Linked DNA regions of Drosophila melanogaster. The main gene of each other region encodes a partner of the protein of the gene in region 2 in a complex. Each region holds a gene or a part of one and is shown on either strand. Other genes may lie near its edges. A codon is read from its position in the direction of its gene.

Evidence for each region.
Region 1: the proteins of Tl (region 2) and spz are in contact, whole or in part, in a crystal structure (PDB 4BV4), measured with the Drosophila melanogaster proteins. Residues at the interface, in NP_524518.1 of Drosophila melanogaster: Gln44, Ile48, Met49, Glu51, Glu53, Glu61, Arg66, Thr68, Tyr74, Gln76, Met78, Arg101, Gln103, Arg105, Arg106, Glu133, Arg154, Arg156, Glu180, Arg182, Ser206, Trp229, Ser230, His253, Asp254, Asn275, Ser277, Ala278, Met301, Asn302; in NP_524526.1 of Drosophila melanogaster: Val221 (codon at 5,595), Gly222 (codon at 5,598), Gly223 (codon at 5,601), Ser224 (codon at 5,604), Asp225 (codon at 5,607), Arg227 (codon at 5,613), Arg231 (codon at 5,625), Ser232 (codon at 5,628), Ile233 (codon at 5,631), Arg234 (codon at 5,634), Lys235 (codon at 5,637), Leu236 (codon at 5,640), Tyr238 (codon at 5,646), Gln263 (codon at 5,721), Glu268 (codon at 5,736), Asp275 (codon at 5,824), Phe276 (codon at 5,827), Ala278 (codon at 5,833), Asn279 (codon at 5,836), Phe280 (codon at 5,839), Pro281 (codon at 5,842), Gln282 (codon at 5,845).

What each region holds. Positions count from the first base shown.
Region 1 is NT_033777.3:27,064,479-27,071,835, reverse strand, and holds spz (spatzle), read left to right. Parts: upstream 1-1,765; 5' UTR 1,766-2,626; coding exon 2,627-2,692; intron 2,693-4,340; coding exon of another isoform or gene 4,341-4,478; intron 4,479-4,636; coding exon 4,637-4,714; intron 4,715-4,951; coding exon 4,952-5,228; intron 5,229-5,355; coding exon 5,356-5,737; intron 5,738-5,804; coding exon 5,805-5,982; 3' UTR 5,983-6,033; exon of another isoform or gene 6,034-6,147; coding exon of another isoform or gene 6,148-6,276; exon of another isoform or gene 6,277-6,400; intron 6,401-6,513; 3' UTR 6,514-6,748; downstream 6,749-7,357. Other genes in the region: CG43935 (uncharacterized protein), read right to left, coding at 6,148-6,276. UniProt on the Drosophila melanogaster protein: The activated form, spaetzle C-106, acts as a ligand for the Toll receptor. Binding to Toll activates the Toll signaling pathway and induces expression of the antifungal peptide drosomycin.
Region 2 is NT_033777.3:26,797,022-26,802,100, forward strand, and holds the start of Tl (toll), read left to right. Parts: upstream 1-2,019; 5' UTR 2,020-2,459; intron 2,460-5,079. UniProt on the Drosophila melanogaster protein: Receptor for the cleaved activated form of spz, spaetzle C-106. Binding to spaetzle C-106 activates the Toll signaling pathway and induces expression of the antifungal peptide drosomycin.

The DNA.
Region 1 (7,357 bases), 270 kb from region 2:
ATATGTATGGGCATTACAATAATACAAAATTGCATCATCATGCAATTTAGTTATCTACTTACACAGCCCCCCTTCATTGCATTTTATTACGTACTAATTGATAAAGAAATTCTTATGAATCAACAGTGCAGCTGATGTTTCTACGAAATGGCCTCAACTCAGTCATTGGTGCATAATTCGGGGGAAAGGCTATGCTATGAGTAGATATGGCCAAGTAAAATGCATTCTGCTAAGAAGTTCCCGTTTTTCCATGGCGAACGACATCCACTTTGGGCCATAAACATAAGCACACAAGGTAGATCCATTCAGGCACGACTGCGTCAGATGCCGTTTACATGGCGATTACTTGCAGTGTGCGACTTAAAGATGCGGTTTTTTGTCCGCCGTTCTCGGAAATACCAATTGAGTCACCATCTTTCCCAAGCGCCTCAGCACGCTCCAAGGCGGCGACTGGCGGGCTAATTTAAGCGATTCGGATCTGCGGCTCCCATGACGCGTGCGCCAACGGAACTGGCGTTTGCGGCACCCGTTCGGAATATCAAATGTGTTAGAAATATTAGATGGGCTCCAACGTGGGGATAGTTTCATTGGTGGTGGTGCCGAGAGCAGAGCAGTTGTGCTCCGCGAGCTTTGATGCCGAGCTTTGGCCCGGCACCACTTTTACTTTCAGCAGCAACAAGTGCTGGCCGGCACCTTCTCACAGGTCAACTTGACCGACTGTGAGAAGCCCTACACTTGGCTAACATGGGTTTAGCCCGATAGAGAAGGTGGTAATCAACCACCCACTTGCCACAAAGTTTGGTTATTTTCAGCTCGGGGAAATTTCTATATTTTCGGGCTACCTATAAACTTGTTTTCTTTCTGGATTTAAATAAAAGTGATAATTCAATCGCTGCTTCTTTAAGTATACCTAATAAAAAAGCAATAAATCTCTAATCGCGTATGTTCAATAACAAGCGGACAGATAATAGTTAATTACTAAAATGGGTCGACGAAAAGGGCAAATTTGTACATAAGTGTTTATTAAGTACAGTATTCATTATTTCAAACGGAAACTTAATCATCCAAAATGCAGCTTTGATTGACTTCCGCAGATAACAAAGCTCTGACTTCGAGGCATCCAAACATTACTCTGTGGCTGCTCTAACTTTTTCGTAATATTTGTTTTAAAAAATTTTGCGATAACGAAGTTAATTTTTGGTGTCAAATGCCACTCAAACGATATGTACATTTTATGCAAAGCTTTATGGCAACTATGCTGATTAGAATGAATAAAATGTTTGTATGGAATTAGTTTTTGAAAGTATGTTTTTAACTTATGTGTTAAAATAGTACAATTGAGGGTTTGATATTCTTCTTAAAGCTCCAGTGATTTGTATTTGGTTTAACAACAGATGTAATTAAAAACGTTAGTCATTATAGTGTTAGTTTGATGTGCACTTACTTTTCTCCAAGTGTAATATGATTCAGATAATTCCGACTGGTAAAGTTTTTCGTGAAGCAGGCGCAATTAGTAGCACTGCTCGGAGTCAGCTGTGATAAAATCGCGGTCCGCTCGCCCAGACGTCCCGCTCCCTCGCACGACCCTCGCGCTCACTACCCATCCCGCTTCCACCGCCTCTGACCGGCGGCGTCTCGCTCGCGCACAGCGCCCGCTCCCGCTCACACTCTCGCAAGCTAGCTTAAAGCTGCACTTAAGCACTGAGCAATTGTTTGGGGGAGCAGACGAGTCGAGTCGGCGGCCTCTGGGCTCCACTTTTCATTTTCAGTTGCCTCCCAGACGTGCGCTCTCGCTGTCGTGTGTTCTCGATCGCGAGAAATCCAAATCGAAATCGCAGTCGAAATCGAACTTGGTTAATGCTTAACACTCTGCATGCCCGGGAGATATGGTGAAACTCTCGATCTGACCGGAAAATCCCAGCGCGCGTCGCTATAAACACTTAAGATCGGTGGCAGATGGTATCGGGCTTGAGGTCCATAAAAGCGCATTCATCTCGAGCTTTTCGTGTCACTCAAAGACGGCGCACAGAGCCGAAAAGTTGAAGACTCACATATCCTGCGATCAGCTACTTGGATAGCCCATTGCCCAGTTGCAAGCCAAATCGGTTATAAACGATATCAATATCGCGGCATTTCATCAGAGCAACCAAATCGAACCGATCCGAAAACGGTTCCACTAAAGCGGCGAGAGCGAAACTAAAGTGAAAAGCAAACCGACTAATTGAAGTGTCTGTCTGTGTGTCTCGCAAACGTGCAAAGGAAACAAACAAAACGGAATAGCCAACATATCACACAGAGCCACCGCACAAAATATTTATAAATAAATAAGAGGCAACAGTAACACCAGCTACCAGTATAAAGGCCCGGCATTAACATTTAGTCGTGCCAGTTTGTTTATTTTTTATATACGCAAAGCCCATAAAAAGAAAAAAACGCACAGATCACTAAAAAACAACAGCAGCCGGCGCTATAATAACAAAGTTGTAGAAATAAGAAAATTGGTATAAGACGCCACCGATCCGCCAATCACCTGCTATATACTATTACTAATCCCCGACGCAGACGTTCGCCGTCCGCAGAATCTATATATATTTATAAATCCAATTGATTAAGCCCGAGATCGAGCATGATGACGCCCATGTGGATATCGCTGTTCAAAGTCCTGCTGCTGCTGTTCGCCTTCTTTGCCACGGTGAGAAATTTACAATTTTACAAATTTCAAAACAGTCGAACCTCCATAAGGGAAACTTTCAAAAGAAGTTAAAGTTTTAAAATTTAAAGATCTTTGCGTCGAAACAATAATTTATTCCAAATCTATCTAATCTGATAAAAGGTTAAAGTCTCCTTGTCTTCTTAAGACAAGCACTTAAGATCTTAAGACTCCAGAACTTGATTTTTTGTTTATTTGAAACAGGTGCTCGCTTGTTCCAGTTATGAAAGTTCGACTGCATTTCTGTTTTTTTCTGTTCCGTGTTAATCTATGCTTAACATAACTGTCATTTCATTGCAATATATTTCGGGCTATGGGCTTTTTAGCTATTAAGATTTATTTTAGATTTTCCATAGTTGTTCTAGCAGTTCCATTAGCCGAAGGGCAGTTTCAAGTTTAAATTTAGTCACAGACTAGAAAACCTGTTCGCATTGCCAGCGGCAGGTTATGTGCAATTTTCATTCTCTATATGATAAATGCACATCATAGGCATTACAATAATATTAATTGACACAAACAATGCCAGACATTCTGCACACGACTTTGGAAGTAATTTACTGCCGGACAAATTGTATGATCATCTCTGTGAGAAAAGCAATTAGTTCGTATTAATGGCGTCGAATGTTAGAAAATCCGTTTGAAAAGCGCCCGAGAACTTTTGTCTTTCCGGTTTTCCGCGAATTCCGCAGCGGACCGGTTCTAAAGATCGTTTTCAGTTCTAGCTAAATTCCAATAGGTTCACGGAAAACCTAAAACTGTGATGGAAAAACGATCCAATGTTTGCCTTAGTTGCGTCTACGCCAAACACTGATGAACGCGTTTAAAAAAAGGTTGATTGCTAATTGATTGGGAAAAAACATTTCCGAGAAATCGCAAAAGTTCTCAGACAATCAAGTTCAGATGGGTTGGCACCTTAAAGCGGGTTTTCTACATGCTCGTCGAGACCCAATTTTAATTTGGGTAAATTCTGTTGACGATTCCATGGACTCTATTCAAGAATTTAAGCATAATAAAAAGTCTTGACGAGATTAGGGGCTATTATCAAGGCTTATTTATATCACTGCATATACATATATATATAACATAGAAATATTTTAAAGAGTAGCACTAAAAGTGCTGATAATTCTAAAATCGCCAAGCTATTTGCATAATTATGGTCCTCGGATTATCAATACATTAAAAGCAACTATTGGCTTGTTCTTTTATATAAATAACCTTCCGGTTGGATTATGTTGATTTTTATTCAGGATCGGCTTGCCTTTAGATTTTCCAATTATTCAGTCTTTATTGCTTGCGGAAGAGGGACATCCGTTTTCAAGTTGCTAAGCTAGAGGCAACTCTCGAGGGGATTATCAACTCTGATTTTGGACTCTGGCTGTTGTTATATGTATATAGGTTCGGGTCCTAACTCAACGGAACTATAGAATTGCGAGAGAAAACTGCGCTTGCCCGAAAAACAGCTGTTCAAACCTTTTGAATACGCAAATGTAGTGCCCGACAATAGAGAGAGAGAGAGAGAGAAGTCTGGGTTGACAAACAAACGAGCCCGAGCACCGACCCACGAATATATACTCCGTTGTCTTGGCAATGTTGATGAACTGCAAACAAAACTCTCACCTGTATCTTTCAGATAGTTTATATCAATATCGAATTAACGAAGCGACACGAGGCCGAGGTGAGGGCAGAGAAAACAGTGGCAGACTATAAGGCCCTTTTGGCTACCATTAACAATGGCGGACCCGGAAAGTCAGCATCTAATCACTTACAGGTGTGAGCACAGTGTCCCCGAGTGTCCCGAAACAGACCCAGTTGTATCGTTATGCTTAACACCTTAATAGCCTTAATTTGTCTGTGGTGTGGTCAAAACTTCTGAACCGAGACTAAAGTCTATTGTCTTGTCTTTTTATTTCGCCATTTTTGCTACAGTACGAGGCCAAGGAGTATGAACGTATCATCAAAGAGCTTTTTACAATAACCAATGATGAGGGAGTTGTCCTCTTTAATGTAAGTGTATACATAGGCAAATGCATGATTTCTCTGTAAAATGTGTCTTTGATGTGAAACGCAATTCATAGCTTCAAGGACGAATTGGTGCGCTGCTTTCTTATAACTACTCTTCATCCTATATTGCATCCCCATTTCACTGCTCATTTGGTTTCTTATTGGGTTGTGTGTTGTCTTTGTGCTTCCTTTTTTTGCCAATTGGCTAAAGACTAACACGAGTAAATTTTACCCGTACAGACGTCCGCGGACAGTGCACCCTTCATGCCCATACCCACCCAGCACGACGATCCGACCCAGAAACAGAAACAGAATCAGAATCAATCTCCGATACCCGAAACGAACCGCCATTACCATCAGTATCACAGCCTGATCCAACCAGATCAGTACTTCAAAGTGCAGCGCTCCCCGAATGGAAAGCTGAATCTGGTCTTTAACGATACGTTCGTATCTTTGCAGAGGACGGACACGGAGGTGCAATCCGAACAGCCGATACCCCCCCGACATCCATCGGATAGTAAGTACTAAGTATTTTAGCCTATATATGCTCAGTTACATTCGATACCCAAACATGCCTTACAACTAACTACTAAATCGATCCCATACTCACTGGCCAACTGCCTTTGGCGCTTGCCTAATTTTAGCCTTTGTCTTCCCCGATTCCCCCATAGCCAAGTATCGGCCACCACAATCCCCAGCTCGTCCTTTGAGGAATGACACTAAAGAGCACAATCCCTGCGCCAAGGATGAAAGCCAACACCTTAGAAACTTCTGCACGAATGTGGACGACTATCCGGACCTTTCAGGCCTCACACATAAGCTAAAAAACAACTTTGCCAAGTTCTTTAGCAACGATCTTCAGCCCACGGATGTGAGCTCTCGCGTTGGTGGCTCAGACGAGCGATTCCTTTGCAGGAGCATCAGGAAGCTGGTGTACCCAAAAAAGGGCTTGAGGGCGGACGACACCTGGCAGTTAATTGTCAATAACGATGAGTACAAACAGGCCATCCAGATCGAAGAGTGCGAGTAAGTTATAGCTTGAATCTATGATATATTCCATTAGCCTTGCTAATTGCCAAACCTTCCCTTCCAGAGGAGCGGATCAACCCTGTGACTTCGCCGCCAACTTTCCGCAGAGCTATAATCCAATCTGCAAGCAGCACTACACACAGCAGACCCTGGCCAGCATCAAAAGTGATGGCGAACTGGACGTGGTGCAGAATTCCTTCAAGATCCCTTCCTGCTGCAAGTGCGCGTTGAAGACTGGGTGATTCTGGAAAATGGGATTCTCCAGTCGATGGCTGCGACAATGTGATATTGAGGTGAGGCCACGATTTATTCGTACATTAAATTTTAAAAATAGGTACAGAACAGAAACGACTGACTACCAAGAAGTAGAGGATTTCAATGAATCCTTGCGACTTAAGGCGAACGCTTCACTTGACCAACTTGCGCAGGGTCCAGCCGACGGCGTAGAATCCCACCAGCTTTAGGGCCATTCCCTTGCTTTCAGCCTTCACCAAATGCTTAAACTTGTTCTCGAAATTGCCAACGACGCGATCCATCGGAATGAGATAGTATAATGTCTGCAATTCAGAAGTCTTGAAAATATGTTCGAATGCGGATTTTCGAACTGTGCTTTATCAAGTATTGTACTTAAATTCAAGAATAATGTTTCTTGTGATTCGAAGAGTCAAACTTTTCAGACTGAGACTACAACTCTAAATATGTATACAGCTTCATTGACATTATTTCCTTGTTAACTAGACCAAAAATATAAATTGTATCTCTTCTCTTTGCAGCAAGAAGTTTCACCCACCACAGAATGGCAGGCCAAACTGATCAGTGGTCATTGATTTATTCTATAATCTGCTGAATCCACACATAGACCAATGTGCATATTAATTTAGAGCTTTAAGTCGAGTCATTTTAACCATATTCGTGTCATATATTCATTTTTGACTTCCACGTCTAATGCCTAAGCTAGAAATGCAAGTAATTAGTCCTAGAATAAAAACAAAACAAAACACAAAACACAAAAAAAAAAACAAGAAAGATAGAAATAACGATTTGAAAAATGTATGTTAAAAAAAGATAATGTATAATAAATGTATGCAAGTACATGCCAGCAAAGTAAAGTTCTTTGAACCCATCAGCGAGTACCTGGTGGACAATTTATTTGCTTATTAACAATAATTCGGTTCGCCCCGCTGCGCAAACCAATTACACCCTAGTGAGTGTAAACACATTCCCCCAAAGGGGTGGTGGTTGGCTTTCACCGGCAAAAGGATAACATGCATCGACTTCGGCTTCCTGGCGCTGGATTTTTCCAACTGTCAGCGGGGCGTATGCGCGATGTGTCTTGAGGTGCTGGCGCTGGCACATGTGGAAATCAATAGTATTTATCGATTCCCAGACACAATAAACTATGTCAAAGTTAGGCCGAACAATGCGAATGCTTGTGGATTCGTTGTGGGCGGGCAAAGTGCCACAATTTAATTACTATTATTAGGTATCCTTCCCGTTTGGCCAAATCCAGTGTCGTGCCCTGGTCGATTGGGCATTGGCCAGGGTCATCAATCATGCACATCCCCAACAGCCACACACAGCCGCGTCCATATCAATTAGCAACTATCCATATATCTC
Region 2 (5,079 bases):
GTATATGTATATAGAATGTATCTTTCGGATACCAATTGCCATTAGTTTATTGAGAATCCGAAATTTATGGCTCTGCGTGTCGTGGCCAACCACGCACAAATGGTCACAAATCTGGACCTGAAACACATGTGGGCCTGCCTTTGGTTCCTCCAGCATCTGTGGCACGTACAAATTTCATTTGTTGCACTATTTATGTGCTTCTCCACTGATGAAAATGAAATCAAATTAAATTTTCGGCACAATTCAAAGTGAAATTTTGCAGCTAACATAAAACAAGGCAAATGAGGAATAAATCTCCCGATGTGTGTCCTGTGCGCTGGGTTTTCCCATGTGGGTACATTGAATGGGAAATTACTGGAATTTCCTTTCGGTCAGAATTACATGCGCATATTTCGGTAATATCTTTGAAATTTACAGTAAATCCTAGGTATTTGAAATGAAAAACACGGGCAGTGTGGCAAATGTGTATATTAATGCATCTTTGCGGGGAGAAGTAGCCATTATGTTGCCTATTAAGCTTATCCAGATTTGCGTTGCTTTGTTTGATTTGACGTAAAGTTATTTGCTTGGAAAGAAAACATCTTAAATCCTTGAAAATTGTGGTGTAAGCCTAGTAGTAAACATTAAAATTGTTGTTGTAATATTTCAACAAATTTATTTAAATTTCAAAGACTTTAGATAATTACCAATTGGGAAATGGAATCAACACAAGATTGCTATGAAAATTGTACATGAATTCAAAGATTATTCATAAGCATGTCCTAATTTTCCATACGCCGTGCATAATTACAGAAAACACAGTTGCAGAGGGATACGATTTCCATTTGCATTTCCCATTCCCCGTCCCTGTCGCACTTCACACGCTGCTCCCCCGGGAGCTATGTCCCATCCTTGTTCCGCATTAGCAGAACGCACTTCCACTTCATTTGAGTCGCAAGCGGCAGAGCGAGAGGGTAGATGTTGTGGAAGTGTGGTTTTAATTGGCACACAACAACAACAGCAAGCAGTCTGCTACGTGCTGGCAATTACATTTTACATTTTACTCAGAGAGAGAGACTAATCAACTAATAAATCCATAATCACTGTTATTACGTATGCTGCCTGAGATGCTTAGACTTTGAAGTTAACCGGTTAAACTTGGCTAACAAGAACTGAGAACTACTGGCCAACAACAACTGCCGGCTTTTCCCCCAAAAATGAAAACAAAACAGTAGAAGGCTCTCTTGCTCTACCACTTTCTCTTATACTCTTATACGAAGTACCTGTATTTCAACTGTTTTCCTCTCTCGCATGACTTTTATCGCATGCGATTTGTTTATAGTGCAACGACCACAGACACGAAGATAATTCGTGTGTCTCTCTCTTTTTCTCCCACGCATCTGTACCTTCGAACGGTATTTGTGGGGTAGAAGAAATTGCTCGACTTATTATATCGTTTGCCACTCAGAAGTTAGGGAAAGAATTTTATTTTTTATAAAAATCCTAGTCAACTAACATAAATCAACTGAAAGCTCGATTCCTCATATTATCACATTGTGTTATTGCTACAAGAACTGTTGTTCTAAAAATTCTTATCAGTACGTCAAAAATATAAAAAAATTTCGAGACTAGCATTTTTATCCAACTCATATTTATTTATAATAAGCTGATTATATATAAAACCCAAACAGCTTTATAGAAATAACTTCACACGTTATTTAAGGTTAAAAAAGTAGCAAGATAGGATGTTATTAAAAGTAGAATATAAAAAATATAATAATAATTTAAAATGTCTTAACAAACTGGAGCTTAAGGAACCAAAAGCAAACAAAATGATATAAAACATATAAAGACTGTGACAAAATTATTAAAATTTAAAATAAAATATATTAATAGGCTGATTACAAATTTAAGTAAATAATGTTTTCTATATTGAGCAAAGGGTATCTTGCCGCCGACTCAGCCACTCTCTCGTCTTTCCCTCCACACTAAGCGCACTACCAGCTCTTCATCTCTCAGTTCTTCTTTCTTTTCGAGTCGAGTTCAGTTTGTTCCGAATCGCCGACGTGAACGCACGCTTGTCGCGCTTGTAGCAGTTGGATTTTTGATTTTCCCAGCCAGAGTCCCGCGTTCGTGTGTTGTGGGCCGCTTTTGTTTGTCTCGTTTTGTGGCCAGCGATTTGGCAACCGAATAAGCCAAGTTAAGAGCAACGCTACGCAGCACAAAATCCATAAAAACAAGAAACACAAGGCGCAATTAAATGCAAATGTGTGAAAGTGTAGCAAGCATTTAACCAAAAATAAAATCGCAAAAAATCGCGGCTTCAAAGTGCGAACAAGCGCGAACAGAGAAGCTAAACAACAGTGCCAGTGCGTGTTTGTTCGTGGCAGCTTAAGAAAAGCCAAATAAATATTAATATTTGCACAAGAGATCGCAGCGGAGTAGCTAACCTCACATTTAATAAAACACGTATTAAAACGGTAAGTATTTACGTCTCCTTGTTCAGTTATTACACTTTGAACCGTGCCATCTCGCTCTGTCTCGTTATCTCCCATTCGATTTTGCTTTGTGCTAAGCTTCGCTTGGCTCGCGCTAAGCTCAGCTATCTCTGTCCCACTCTCTGATCAGTCCAATTCGCCTATAATTGCACAGAAAAAAATTTACCAAATTGATGGCTCATCGGGCAATTGGTTGACATTTTGTTCCAGTTTTGATCACAGTCAGATAAAATCAATTTAAAGTACATAAAATGAGCTGTAAAATATTTGTAAACATCTTTAAATTGATCTATTAATACTACTACTACTACTACTACTACTACTAGTACTCTGCGTAAAACCGTATTTTTTCCTGTGCAAATTGGCGATGAATAACAGTTTCAGCAGTTGTAACCGTTGCACAATTTTCCCCAGTGCTTGTGTGTGTCACACTCTTGTTGTCCACAATTTCCGTGGTTTTTCTCGGCACTTTCCAGGGAAATGTGCAAAATGCTGCAGTGCAGCAGCAAGTGCTCTTCGGCCTTGGGGTGTGCTTTGCGTTTTGGCCAACCCATGAACGAAACAAAAAAGAAAACAAAGCCACACGCATTTGGCCCAAAGCTCACGAGCCAGCATATTAACACTTTGAATTTTTGGCCAAAAACCAGTTTGGAATCGAAAAAACAAACAGACACAACAAAAGTTTATTTACTACCAAAGAGAGCTTCGTTCAACAGGTTTTCATTGCGGGGACTTTTATTCGTATTGAAGGTGGAAATACCTGGGTAATGCAGGTTTCAAAAGTACTTCTAACAAACCAGAAAATGCCCACTTGTGCTTTAAAAGCTAATAAGTTGCTGATTAGAAACAGCAAAACAAAATAAGAGAAGAAGGAAGGGACAAGAATCTTCTCGCTTGTACCAATTATGGTAAAAATCGTATGACCTTATGATAAACTTAGACTTTTGTTTTTAATTCATTTCGATTCTTCTTGGGTTTTCCAACACCATAAATCTCTTCTTAGTTGATAGCCCTTGACCACTAGCTACATTTATATGAAAAATTCGGAAAACCCCAAGATTCAACCCCAAAAGTTCAACGATTATCGCTCAGAAGCAGCAGGTCTTGAATTCAAGAACAATGCTGTTTTAACAATAATTATACAATATATATAAATTTTGATTGTATTTTTTTCCGATAGTTAACATCCTGCCATTGAGCTTCTTTCGCCTGAGGGTTTTCCGAATAACTGTACTCTGGATTTAGGTTAAGATTTTTCTTCTTTGGCCCACATCAAAGGCAAAGAAGCTTTCAAAGCGGCTATAACAATGGCGGCAAACTGAAAAAAAAAAATGCTAGTCTTCGTCTGTGAAGGTAAAACTGCGGAAGTCATTTAACAGTCTACTTAACTTCTGCCAAAAAAAAAAGAAGTGAACGAAAAAAATGAAGTGGAAAACGGCAAACTGCAAACGTTCAAGATGCTCCGCTTGGGTCTTTCGTCTTGGCCACGTTAGAAAGTAGCTGTAATTGTGGCTCCGTTATTGTTATGGCCAAACCGCCACTAGTCCAACTGCAGGCGGTAAAAGTTGCCCAAAATGAATTGTCATACAAACACGTTTGTTATAAATATTTCTGCACAATGAGAGACTCATTTAAGATTCATTGTACTCGCTTTTTTAGTTGTTAGCTTTATTTTTCCCCCTCTCATTATTGAGGGCGTTTGTCCACTCGGTTGATAAGCGAAAAGGCAGAAAAACAATATTCAAAGCTGACTCCGCTTTGGTTTTTACATCTGCCAAGTGTTTTTTAGCTTTCTGCTATTTCACTCTTAGTTATTGGCGACTTGTGTTGATAATTAGCACGTCGGCTTTCAGCGTTTCTATGACTTGTGGTCCGCTCAGCGTGATGAGTCAGCCTCCTAAGCTGAAAAGAGCGTTACGATCGAACCACCATATGTCTTACTCTCCCGATCTCAGATCAGCGGGCGGTTTAACCCAAAGTCAAACCAGATCCGTGACGTAAATGGGAGACAAATACACGCAAAAAAAAAACAAGACTGAAGATCTGAAGATTGTATCTATAAGATCTGTTATTAAAGTGATATGTAATTACATACTACATTCTTATATGATGACTATAATGACTAATATAAACACGTTTTAATATAGTACAAGTTTATATTATATAGCGTAATATCATACTTACCGTATTGTTATCACCTGTTTTTTTTTAACAACTCATTTCTTTTCGTGTGATTTCAACGTGTGAGGTTTTTTACTCTCCAATCAGATTGAACTGAGATAGAACTGCCTGACCAGTCACAGGGCTTATTGCCTTGCATTCAATTAATTAATTTCAATTTTATTGCTTCAGCTGACCATAAAATCGTGAAGGGAGGAATAACCATAAGTTCCCCACTGCGACATTCTCTCGGTGGAGGGAAATGAAGTCGTTGCACTTGCTTTCACCCTAATGCCTTCATCAGCTGCACAAACGAAAAATCTCATTAATTTTCCACTTTCTGTCTATCTTTGGGTTATCTCTCCATTGTTTGTCCCCGTCCCAGTTCCCTTTATGTTCTTACTATTTTTTTTTTTTTTTGGCCCTACCTGCGTGCAGGAGT